3 linked regions of the Mytilus edulis genome follow. The protein of the gene in region 1 binds, or shares a complex with, the protein of each later gene. Links are inferred from orthologs where the notes say so. Each region holds a gene or a part of one and is shown in the gene's direction. Other genes may lie near its edges.

Evidence for each region.
Region 2: structural maintenance of chromosomes protein 5-like (region 1) and non-structural maintenance of chromosomes element 3 homolog share a complex: the UniProt entries of both Homo sapiens proteins name them as parts of the SMC5-SMC6 complex. The link is inferred for Mytilus edulis from reciprocal best matches to the Homo sapiens genes SMC5 and NSMCE3.
Region 3: structural maintenance of chromosomes protein 5-like (region 1) and non-structural maintenance of chromosomes element 1 homolog share a complex: the UniProt entries of both Homo sapiens proteins name them as parts of the SMC5-SMC6 complex. The link is inferred for Mytilus edulis from reciprocal best matches to the Homo sapiens genes SMC5 and NSMCE1.

Annotation. Positions count from the first base shown.
Region 1 is NC_092347.1:98,060,771-98,064,531, forward strand, and holds the start of structural maintenance of chromosomes protein 5-like, read left to right. Parts: upstream 1-783; 5' UTR 784-864; coding exon 865-986; intron 987-3,761. UniProt on the Homo sapiens protein: Core component of the SMC5-SMC6 complex, a complex involved in repair of DNA double-strand breaks by homologous recombination.
Region 2 is NC_092344.1:12,733,721-12,737,481, reverse strand, and holds the start of non-structural maintenance of chromosomes element 3 homolog, read left to right. Parts: upstream 1-969; 5' UTR 970-984; coding exon 985-1,038; intron 1,039-3,761. UniProt on the Homo sapiens protein: Component of the SMC5-SMC6 complex, a complex involved in repair of DNA double-strand breaks by homologous recombination. The complex may promote sister chromatid homologous recombination by recruiting the SMC1-SMC3 cohesin complex to double-strand breaks.
Region 3 is NC_092344.1:117,754,394-117,758,154, reverse strand, and holds the start of non-structural maintenance of chromosomes element 1 homolog, read left to right. Parts: upstream 1-819; 5' UTR 820-961; intron 962-3,761. UniProt on the Homo sapiens protein: RING-type zinc finger-containing E3 ubiquitin ligase that assembles with melanoma antigen protein (MAGE) to catalyze the direct transfer of ubiquitin from E2 ubiquitin-conjugating enzyme to a specific substrate.

The DNA of each region.
Region 1 (3,761 bases):
CATAGATAGCATTGAAAAAGTTCAAAGGAGGGCTGCGCGTTTTGTTACCAACAAATACAGAAACACCTCAAGCGTTGGTAACATGTTACAACATCTTGAATGGCGCAGTCTCTCTGACAGAAGAAAAGACTCCAGATTGGTAATGCTCTACAAAATTGAACACGAAAAGGTTGCAATCCCTAAACAAAATAAATTAATTCCACAAAAAAGACAAACAAGACATACAAATTCGAACAGCTTCCAAATTCCATCCTGCAAAACACAGTACAGAAAAGAGTCATATTTTCCAAGAACTATCACCGACTGGAACAAACTACCGGACAACATTGTAAATTGCACTTCAGTCGACTCTTTCAAATCTTCAATTTCAAAGCATCAATATTAACTCAATTACAACATCTTACTTTATTATACAAAACATTTTAAATTTTTAATTTTTCCTATTTTTTAAAAATTGTACATTTTTCCAATCTATGTCTTGTTGTAAGTTTCCTCCTGTGACATAATCTTCAATTTGTTGAAGGCGGTCACTATATGGTAGAATAGAATAGAATCATCTTCTTCTTCTTCTTCTTCTTCTTCTTCTTTTTTCTTCTTCTTCTTCTTCTTCTTCTTCCAGGTAAGGAACCGGATTCAATACTGAATGTTCATATCTTCTCTGAAACTTCAATCAAATTTTTTATGTCCCTGTAATAAGAATAAGAATGAATAAGAATTTGTGAAGGATAAGAATACACTACGATTTTTTTTTATTTCTTTGAGTCGAGTACGGGACTGAATACTGAATTTAGCTTCTAACACATACAGGAAGTTTAATGGTTGTTTGTAACATTTGCCGCGAAATTTTGTCAAAAATATTGAAAAATGAAAAATTCTGTAAAGCAACGGAGACAGAATAGCTCTCAGCTGGCTTTAACAAACAATAATCACGAAGATGTTACATTTAAGGAAGGTGCAATAGTTAGAATCAAGCTTGAAAATATTTTGTAAGTTCAACAGAACAGTAGCAGGCAACTTTTCACAAGTTTTACATTGCCGGGCATTGGCCACAGGAGACTACAAATCTTATAATATAATGTTAAAAGCTCTCTACCCAATGAAAAACTGTAGTAGGCTATCCGACAAAGTATGCCTTGAACCAGGGACTTCAAATAGTATAGATTGTCCCTGCTTGATTAAGGTTCATGTGGACCCTTTGGTTAAAATGGGCGTGTTTTCACCTTAAAATTTACTCTGCGTGACAAACCTGTGCATCTGGAAAAGTTTTAAGGCAAAGCCTGCCCTAGATAAATACATTTTGAATATTTTTTAGAAAAATAAAAACTTAACAGGATTTTGCAGTGCCCTTTTTACATCACTTGTCGTCCGTCAACTTTTAAAAATATCTTCTCTGAAACTACTGAGCCAAATTTTACCAAACTTGGCCACAATCATAAGTGGGGTATTTAGTTTAAAAAATGTGTGCGGTGCCCCAGGCAACCAACCAAAATGGCCACCATGGTTAAAAATAGAACATAGGGGTAAAATGTAGATTTTGGCTTATAACTCTGAAACCAAAGCATTTAGAGCAAATCTGACAAAAGGTAATATTGTTAATCAAGTGAAGGTCTATCTGCCCTGATATTTTCAATGAATCAGACAACTGGTTGTTGGGTTGCTGCCCCTGAATTGGTAATTTTAAGGAAATTTTGACGTTTTTGGTTATTATCGAAAATACTATTATAGAAAAAGATAAACTGTAAACAGCAAAAACGTTCAGCAAAGTAAGATCTACAAATAAGTTAACATGACCAAATTGGTCAGTTGACCCCTCAAGGAGTTATTGTCCTTTATAGTCATTTTTTACCAATTTTTCGTATATTTTTGTAATCTCTTACTAAAATCTTCTCCTCTGAAACTACTGGGCCAAATTAACCAAACTTAGCCTGGTTAGCCACAATCATTATTAGGGTATCTTGTTTAAAAAATGTGTGGGGTGACCCAGCCAACCAACTAAGATGGCCGCCATGGCTAAAAATAGAACATAGGGGTAAAATGTAGATTTTGGCTTATAACTCTGAAATCAAAGCAATTAGAGCAAAACTGAAAGGGTTAAAATTGTTTATCAAGTCAATATCTATCTGCCCTGAGATTTTCAGGTGAATTTGACAACAAGTTGTTGGGTTGCTGCCCCCCAATTGGTAATTTTTACGGAATTCATGTTATTTTTTTAAAGACATTTTTCCGTTTTTGGTTATTTATCTTGAATACTATTATAGATAGAGATAAACTTTAAACAGCAATAATGTTCAGCAAAGGAAGATTTACAAATAAGTCAACATGACCAAAATGGTCAGTTGACCCCTTAAGGAGTTATTGTCCTTTATAGTCAATTTTTAACAATTTTCATTAATTTGGTAAATTTTTGTAATTTTTTTACAAAATATTTTCTGTTGTAAGTAAAGGGCCAAGTTTATTATAGATAGAGAAAATTGTAAGTAGCAAGAATGTTCAGTAAAGTAAGATCTACAAACACATCATCATCATCGAAACACAATTTTGTCATGAATCCATCTGTGTCCTTTGTTAAATACATGTATGCACCTAGACCAAGGTGAACGACACAGGCTCTTAAGAGCCTTTAGTTTTCATTCCTCCAGAAGGTACCAAAATAAACTAAGTTGGGAAAGAGGTTTGAGATATTCCCCACAGGTATTATTGAAGTGAGCTGTTTTGTTTGACATGGACAATAGATACCTGACAATATTTTTTTATTTAATCAGTGTACCAGAGTGGACCACAAGCAAAACTCATTTGTTTGTTAATTTTATCATTTTCTGATGGGACAAAAAAAAGTGCACTGCAAAATCCGGTTAGTTATGAATTTTTCTGAATCATAACAATGCATTTAAATTATAGTTATCTAGGGCATGCTATGCCTTAAAACTTTTCCAGATGCACAGGTTTGTCTGTACTCAGAGTGAATTTTGATGGTCCACATGAACCTTAAGTTGAACACAAACAAATTATAAAATAGTTTAAAAAAAAAAAGTTAAAAAAAAAAAAAAATTATAAAATATTGTGACAGGATTGCTTCCCTTAGAAAAATGTAGTAGATACTTAGTCAGCCATAAGCGGTTGAGCTACATTTAATTAGGAAGCTTAAGTACTTCTTTAGCTCAGTCAGTTAACTTGCTGTCTTGTTACACAGAGGTCCCTGTGGAGACGAGCAATTTTTGTAATGAAATTCATGCTCTCTGGTTACAATGTTATAACTTTTTTTATGCCCCATTTATGGGCATTATGTATTCTGGTCTGTCTGTCAGTTCAATCGTCCGTCTGTCTGTACCGCTCCAGGTTAAAGTTTTTGGTCGAGGTAGTTTTTGATGGAGTTGAAGTCCAATCAACTTGAAACCTAGTACACATGTTTGCTATGATATGATCTTTCTTATTTTGATGCCAAATTAGAGATTTTACCCCATTTTCATAGTCCACTGGACAGTACATGTATGTCATAGAAAGCGATAGTGCGGATGTGGCATCTGTGTACTAGGGACAAACTCTTGTTTATAATATTTTCCCTTTGGTAATTAACCTGTAGTGCATTGTCACATGTAACAGTATGACAAGATTTTTATACCCCTGCTTTAAAAAAGGGAGGTATACTGTTTTACCTCTGTCTGTCCATCCATCCTTCTGTCCGTCCATCCCATGAATATTTTTGTCACATTTTTCTCAGGAACTACAATTCAAAGATTTCTGAAATTTGGTTTCAGGGTTTA
Region 2 (3,761 bases), on another chromosome or scaffold:
CAACACTGTCACTTAACACACTGCATGGAAAAATGTGCTTTGCCACTCGTGTAAATAATTTTACATATTTGTATATATTATTCTTAACCTTGAAAATAATCAGTAAATTTCAAAGTAATATCAGGAATGTACTAAGGGTTATTGCATGCATAAGGGGAAATATTATCATCAATAGATTTTTATTGAAACACCTTGGTGTGCTATTCATATCATATGCTACAAAGGATACTTGTCCAATTTTTGTGCAGTAACCCTTTTATTGTATATACCAAAGCTTGATAAACATTAACTCTTTCATTGTCTTCTGAAACATATTTTTGTCCAAGATGACACATTGCTAATTTGAAGCTTTTTGCATTAGTGCAATAAAATGATCATATAATACATCATTTCAAACGAATAACAAGTAATGTTCTGTATGAAATTATATGTTCATTTATGATTTTGCAATAGAATACCAATATACATGTATGAAGACATTTCAATGTAAAACAAACCTGCAAATTTTCTGCCTTTCTCAAGTTTATTCTTGTAAAATTAAGGCATAATCCGAATTATACAACCAATATTTCTTCCAGGAATTCCAGCTAATCTAATTTTTATGTCCACAACTGAAAATATAAATTAGATAACAAACATTATATTTTAAATGAATGAAACTTTGGTTATACATGTACTATTTAATATTCAACTGATCTCAAATTACAAAATATCAGTTTTTCAGGTGTATTTTTTAAAACTTAGACATGTTTGTATACCATCTGTTACCCAGTCAATAAAAATAATACTAAAATAACATGCAGTGTCCATGTATGGAATGATATTAAATTATAGTCATTCTAGAACATCCAATCCTTTTTCAGTTTCTAGCCAATCTAGGCAACGTCTTTCTATCATTGTTTTAATTTTGCCGGCTCAAATATTTATTTAAAATTTTGGAAGGAAATCCACATATTTATGAAAAAAGTGCAAAGTTGATTCTGAATGGGTGACCTTCATGACCTTTGTGATTGTAAACCTATTGTCTGTTATGTTCTGGTATGTATATTCATGTAATTTTCTTTTAAAACAAAACTTATCTTCCAAAAAAAAGAAGTATTATTATAGAATAAGATAAGCGAATAATCTGCAGGGCAGATACATTTATTTATGTGTAAAATACTGTAACAACAGTCAGGGCTCTCACAGAAAGAACTTAAAAGGTAATTAAATATTACTTAATCAGGGGCGGATTTAGGCGGTGGCGTGGCGGGCGTGCGCCCCCCCCCCCCCCCCCCCTCCCAAAAAAAATTTGCAAAGCATGGGTTGTCTTCAACTTATTTAAGTATCAGAAGATACCATTCCATCTTTTTTAACATTCATTATATTATATTGTATATATAACAGTCAGTTTAACAGAATTAATGTGATTACTAATCAACTGACCTACATTTTATTTAAGTTCTAAAAATATTGTATACTCCAAAGGAAGGTGTCAAACGCGGAGCTGCGTTTGGTGTCAAACATAATAGATGTTTAGCAGTTAATTTTTTCATTGTATTTGCGCTTTTTATTATCAATTTCTTTGATAATCAAAGTTCCAACTAACTTTTTTGTGGTGTACCTGTATTTCTTTATATCACAACTACCTGCAGCACGTCTTTTAAGCCGGGTTTAGTTAAGATATTACCCGATATTGCTATATAGATAATTTTACAAGTGATGGTGTCTTGATTGTAGATTGGTTTGCATTGGAACACAGAATCAAAATAAAAGGTTTGCATGATCTTCAGCTTCTGTTTTTGGGGCTGCAACTTTATTACTGTAGCTTTATAAACTCATATATACAATATGAATTCCTTAGTGCATGCCTGAGTGAGGGGTGTTTGGAGATTGTTGTGGATTTCTCCAACTTGTAAGACACCTTGCCCTCATAACTCGGAGGTTCTTCGCGGAACAGGGACATATTGTTTTACCTCTGTCCGTCCATCTGTCAGTCAGACACTATATATTTGGTCCAGAGGATTAACTAGGACGCATGCACATCTATTTCTAGTACTTCATTAAATGCAACACCAGTTTTCCCAGCAACTATTGACATACTTTTATGTGGAGGGTCAGCTTGTGTACTCCGGATTGAGGAATGTCTCTATCGATCCTTATTGTTTTCTGTCCCGTTTTGAGGAAATATATGGGGATAGTCTCAATGAATAGAAGCTCAAAGATTTCTTGTTAAGTATGGTAATTATAGATTGTTTTCAGAGGAGGATTTCGTCGGTTTCAGCTTGAAACGTAAATTTCTCGCTAATTTTACCACACAATAGTTCGTGATATCTACATTGCACCCCCTTTAGAAGAATATTTCAATAATTTTACCTCAAAATTTTTTTTCGCCTCGTTCCGCTCAGCAAACAAAAAATTTGCGCCCCCCCTAACATTAAATCCTGGATCCGCCCCTGTTAATGTTTTCTCTTGATAATCTAATCACCTAAATCAATAATATTTGTGATCAGAAAAATAGCATTGACATTTTATCATGTTTATTGTTTATATGTTTGATGTTTGATGATTAGTTTTGTAAATGGTAAACACATGCACATGTCTCACGGATATAAAAGATAAGAACATGTGCTTATTAATCAATAGAATCAAATGATAAGTTTTATGAACACTGACCAGCTATTTAATTAACAATGATTAAATTAACACTAAAGGAAAAAAGAGGGGTTATTATCATGTTTATTGCAGAAAAAGAAGAAGATAAAAGTTGCCAGATCTGACTTTTGATACACAGGGTGTACATCTTCTTTATACAATGTATATCTCTAATTGCAGAGAGGAAATGCTTTCTTACTGGAATTATTATTGATTTACAATAAAAGTCCAATACTGAAGTATCCCAATGATACCTATATCTCACATGTCTGAATTACAAATGTATACTGAACTTGAAGTTCATGAGGTTCGAGTACAAAAATCCTATTTATTCACAACTTTTCATAGGCATCACTGTCTTTAAATGTCGAAATAATCCCCCAGATTTCGCTACAATAAAGGAGAATAGGGGCTACTAAGGAATCAAAAAGTTTTCCCAGAAGTTTACAAGGGTTATCTAATCCTATTGTTTTCTTTATTTTAAAATATGCTTTCCTAGCTTTTTCAAATGGCGAAGTGATGGCGACATTAAAACTGCCATTATATCTAATACTAATACCCATGTAACAATACCGGTAAGTTTCAATATAATTTAAGCAATATCAACAAATTTTAGGTCAATTAGATTTTATGTGATTTCTTTATGATTGTGAATTAAGTTTTATAAAATTCTGGGAAGAATTGTACACATGAGAGCACTAACAATCATTGACAATGCAACTTTCCGTATAATTTAAGGGTTTCCAAGGGACACAACTCTTTTAAACCAGATCCTCCACAGGGCGCAGCTTTATACGACCGCAGAGTTTGAACCCTGGACATTGGGGCAAGTATGGACACAACATTCAAGCTTGATACAGCTCTGAATTTGGATTGTGATTAAAACAGTTGACACAACACAGGTTTCTGACACATAATGAATGTGGTCTAAGAACTTGAACTTAAAAACTTTAAATTTTAAATTGACATTACCTATTATGGTCCAATATCCAAAATCTAAATACATGGTTAGATTCAGCATATCAAAGAACCCCAAGAATTCAATTTTTGATGAAATCAAATAAAGTTCAATTTTGGACCCTTAAGACCGCAATGTGGACCAATATGATAACCGGGCCCAAACATCA
Region 3 (3,761 bases), on another chromosome or scaffold:
TTTGCGGTAAAGAGGATGAAACCATTTCACATTTTCTGATTTCATGTACACCTTTAGAAACTGAAAGAATGTCTCTTTTGAAATCTCTCCGAGAACAATATATCAAAGTGCTAAAACTACTAAACATTAATATGCATGATATAGATGTAGACTTCATCCATGTTATTATCAATCCATATCATCTAGTAAATTATTGTGGTACCTCTCTAACCAGTGAACTTTGTGCTTTTATTAACATCCATATAGAGCCTGCTTGTAGAACATTAATATATAAGCTTCATTTACACAGATACAAACTTTTAAATTTAGATCAGAAAAGATTTAGAAAAAATAATTTAAGATCATAGCCCTATTTAATGAAAAAAAAAGTTGTGTGTGGACTGCAAATCTCATATTTTCTATTAAGGACTCATTTTTAGATTTTATAGATGAGAACGGGTGTGATTTGTGTGTAAAGATATACCGACATTTGTAAATAGTGTACATCGTTATATATATTCTATTGGTGATTGGATATTGTAATTCACTACTGTATGTCATTATATTGGTGAAGGGATATATTGACTTCATACTGAAGGTGTGCCTATAATATTGGCAGAAAATATACAGATACAGTGAAACTACCGTGTGATAAGGGTGCTCCGTTGTGGAGGAATCTACGAAGAAAAGAAAGAAGGTCCGACATAACAGGCTATGTTTTAGGTATTTCAAAATTAAACTCTAAATTTTAAACTAAATGTTACATGACGATTTAAATGTATAAGTCTTAAATAAAAATAAAAATCATAGAGTTGACACAAAATCATGCAGAGTTTATAATTTTTAACAGAGTTGATCTTTCTCTTAGCTCATTATAGATTCGAAATTATATGTATGGTACCAGTCAATTATTTGGATTTGGCGGGAACCAGGAAGAAAAATAAACAAAACAGACACAAGAAACAAACACTTGCTATTTATTGTAAGTCACTGCTGGGAACAGTATATCTAATCATGGAAGTATTATATTGACATACTTCCATGATCTAATATATATGTTCCTGGTCACTGTTACATTTGATTTAATCAAGGATTTGTATAATAAGACCTTCTTACTATAGAGGGGGGATAGGACCTTTATCGGGACTCCGGGATCGCGTGTTTTTAAGCTCGGGATTTCGGGATTGACCCTTTCGGGATCCGGGAATTCTTTTTTTCGGATTTCGGGACGTCGGGATTTACTTTAAATTTAAATTCGGTAACTCGGGATTTTGTTTTTTTAAGTCCGGGATTTCGGGATCAGGACCCCTCCTATCCCCCCTCACTATACAAATGCTTGATTTAATACTAATAGATTCACTTTTGCAAATAGATTCATTCGTGTTCTGTATGTATCCCCTGAGATTACTGTGTTATAGGAGGGTGGTAAAGGGGGCCCTGAACACTGAAACATGTGAAATAAAAATCGCAAAAACGTTGCACGGAAAATAAAAAACGGAAAAACGAAGCACGAGAAATAAGATCGTAAATATTAAAGTCATAAGAAACGAGTGACTGGTGAAAAATAATGTTTATCCAATTCTTGAACCAGTGCATGTATATATTGTGACAAATCTGGACTGATAATTGTTATTATTTAACCTATTATTTATTGTATATTACATATATCTATTTGAATATTGCCAGGTGGTCAACTTCTCGGGAGTGCACAAATACTGATAAATGCATTGACTTTCATACTCATGATTCACAGGCGCTTGGGTCTATGATACAGATATTATTATTTTTTTTTTTTATTAAAATATTCAATTTTCTATATTTATAATACATATCTATCACTTTTGTGCATGTCTCACCTAGTTTCGAGTGATTTAAACGACCCAGTGAAAAAACCCAATTTTACTATCCATACTAAGAAACAAAAAGGCAACTAACTCGACGCCATTTTTCTGCTATCTATAAATAAATAGATTGACCTACCTGGATTCCCCGACGATTTCTCTAGGAAAGCGTGCCTTCCTTGCCGTCAGATCGCACACATCGTTGATATTTATCAAATTGGTATTGTTCGTATCATTTTTAGTCCATCTCCAGCATATAATAAAAAGATTAACTTTTTTGACTAATTTCAAATTTACGTGCCCGGAAGTTGACTGTTTTTCCCGAACTTTTGTTAAAGGGAAGTAATATTTTCCCGGACTTTTTCGGAACATCTCTCCAAGTACGTATGAAAATAATAAAGTGATACGATGATTTCCGAACTTTTACCAAAAAGGCGCAACTTTCCAATTACCGGAAAAGAATCTGTCATCATATTCAGTCTGAAATGATGACAATTCAACCAAAAGAAGATACTCATAAAAACATTGATTCATGATAATTTATAAATATACAAATACTCACACAAAATTGACTTATGAGTGGAATTAAAAAAAATTAAGCCATTGACCATTTGATCTGATATTTTTATTTATTTGGTGAAAAAGGGGGGGTGGGGGGGGGGCAAGGAAATTTACTAATATTTTCTTTCCACGAAAATGTTATTGACTTTGTTTTAATTATTACAAAACATGGGTCATGTTAACTGAAGTAAAAAAAAAAGGGGGGGAGGGGACAATATTTCCAAATTTTGCAGTTCCCCTTTCTAACATAAAATCAAAACTGTGATTTTTGAAAATTAAAAGATTATGACCACTAACAATCAAATTAGGGGCTTGATCTTGTTCGATATTCATCATATCTGTTTGTTAACATATAGTATTAGTTCGGAAGTCATCGTATCACTTTGTTATTTTCATACGTACTTAGAGAGATATTCCGAAAAAGTCCGGGAAAATATTACTTCCCTTTAACAAAAGTTCGGGAAAAACAGTTAACTTCCCGGCACGTAAATTTGAAATTAGTCAAAAAAGTTAAAATCTTTTTATTATATGCTGGAGATGGACTAAAAATGTTACGAACAATACCAATTTGATAAATTTCAACGATGTGTGCGATCTGACGGCAAGGAAGGCACGCTTTCCTAGAGAAATTGTTGGGGAATCCAGGTAGGTCAATCTATTTATTTATAGATAGCAGAAAAATGGCGTCGAGTTAGTTGCCTTTTTGTTTCTTAGTATGGATAGTAAAATTGGGTATTTTCACTGGGTCGTTTAAATCACTCGAAACTAGGTGAGACATGCACAAAAGTGATAGATATGTGTTATAAATATAGAAAATTGAATATTTTAATAAAAAAAATAAAAAAAAAAATATCTGTATCATAGACCCAAGCGCCTGTGTCATGATTTAAACTATTTGTACTTTGCAATCGATAAGGGTCAGTTTTATATGTATATCTTGGTAATGTATACCTATGAAATACTTTGATTATTCCGTCATATAGCCTCACCGGACACAATTACGAACGATTTTTGAACTTAGATTAATATTTTTTATGTAACGTGACGGTACCCAAATTGCACCTATTTTGACAGTTTTTTCATGTACATGTTTTTTATGATAAAGACAAAAATGTCCATTCTGTGTTCATTTTGTAGCCGTATCCTTCTTTATTATAAAGGTACACCAATTTGATTTTTATTCCATATGGAATCATAGAAAAATTGGTCTAAACTGACCTCCAAACCATCAATGATTCTGAAATGAGGAGTACCCAAATTGCATCCATGCTTAAATTCACTGTCACATCGTCAAAAGTCTAATAACAGAGCTTTTGTTTAATTTCTTCAAATATTTTGAACTATTGGATGTTAGTCCATGCTTACTCTTCATTTTTTTTT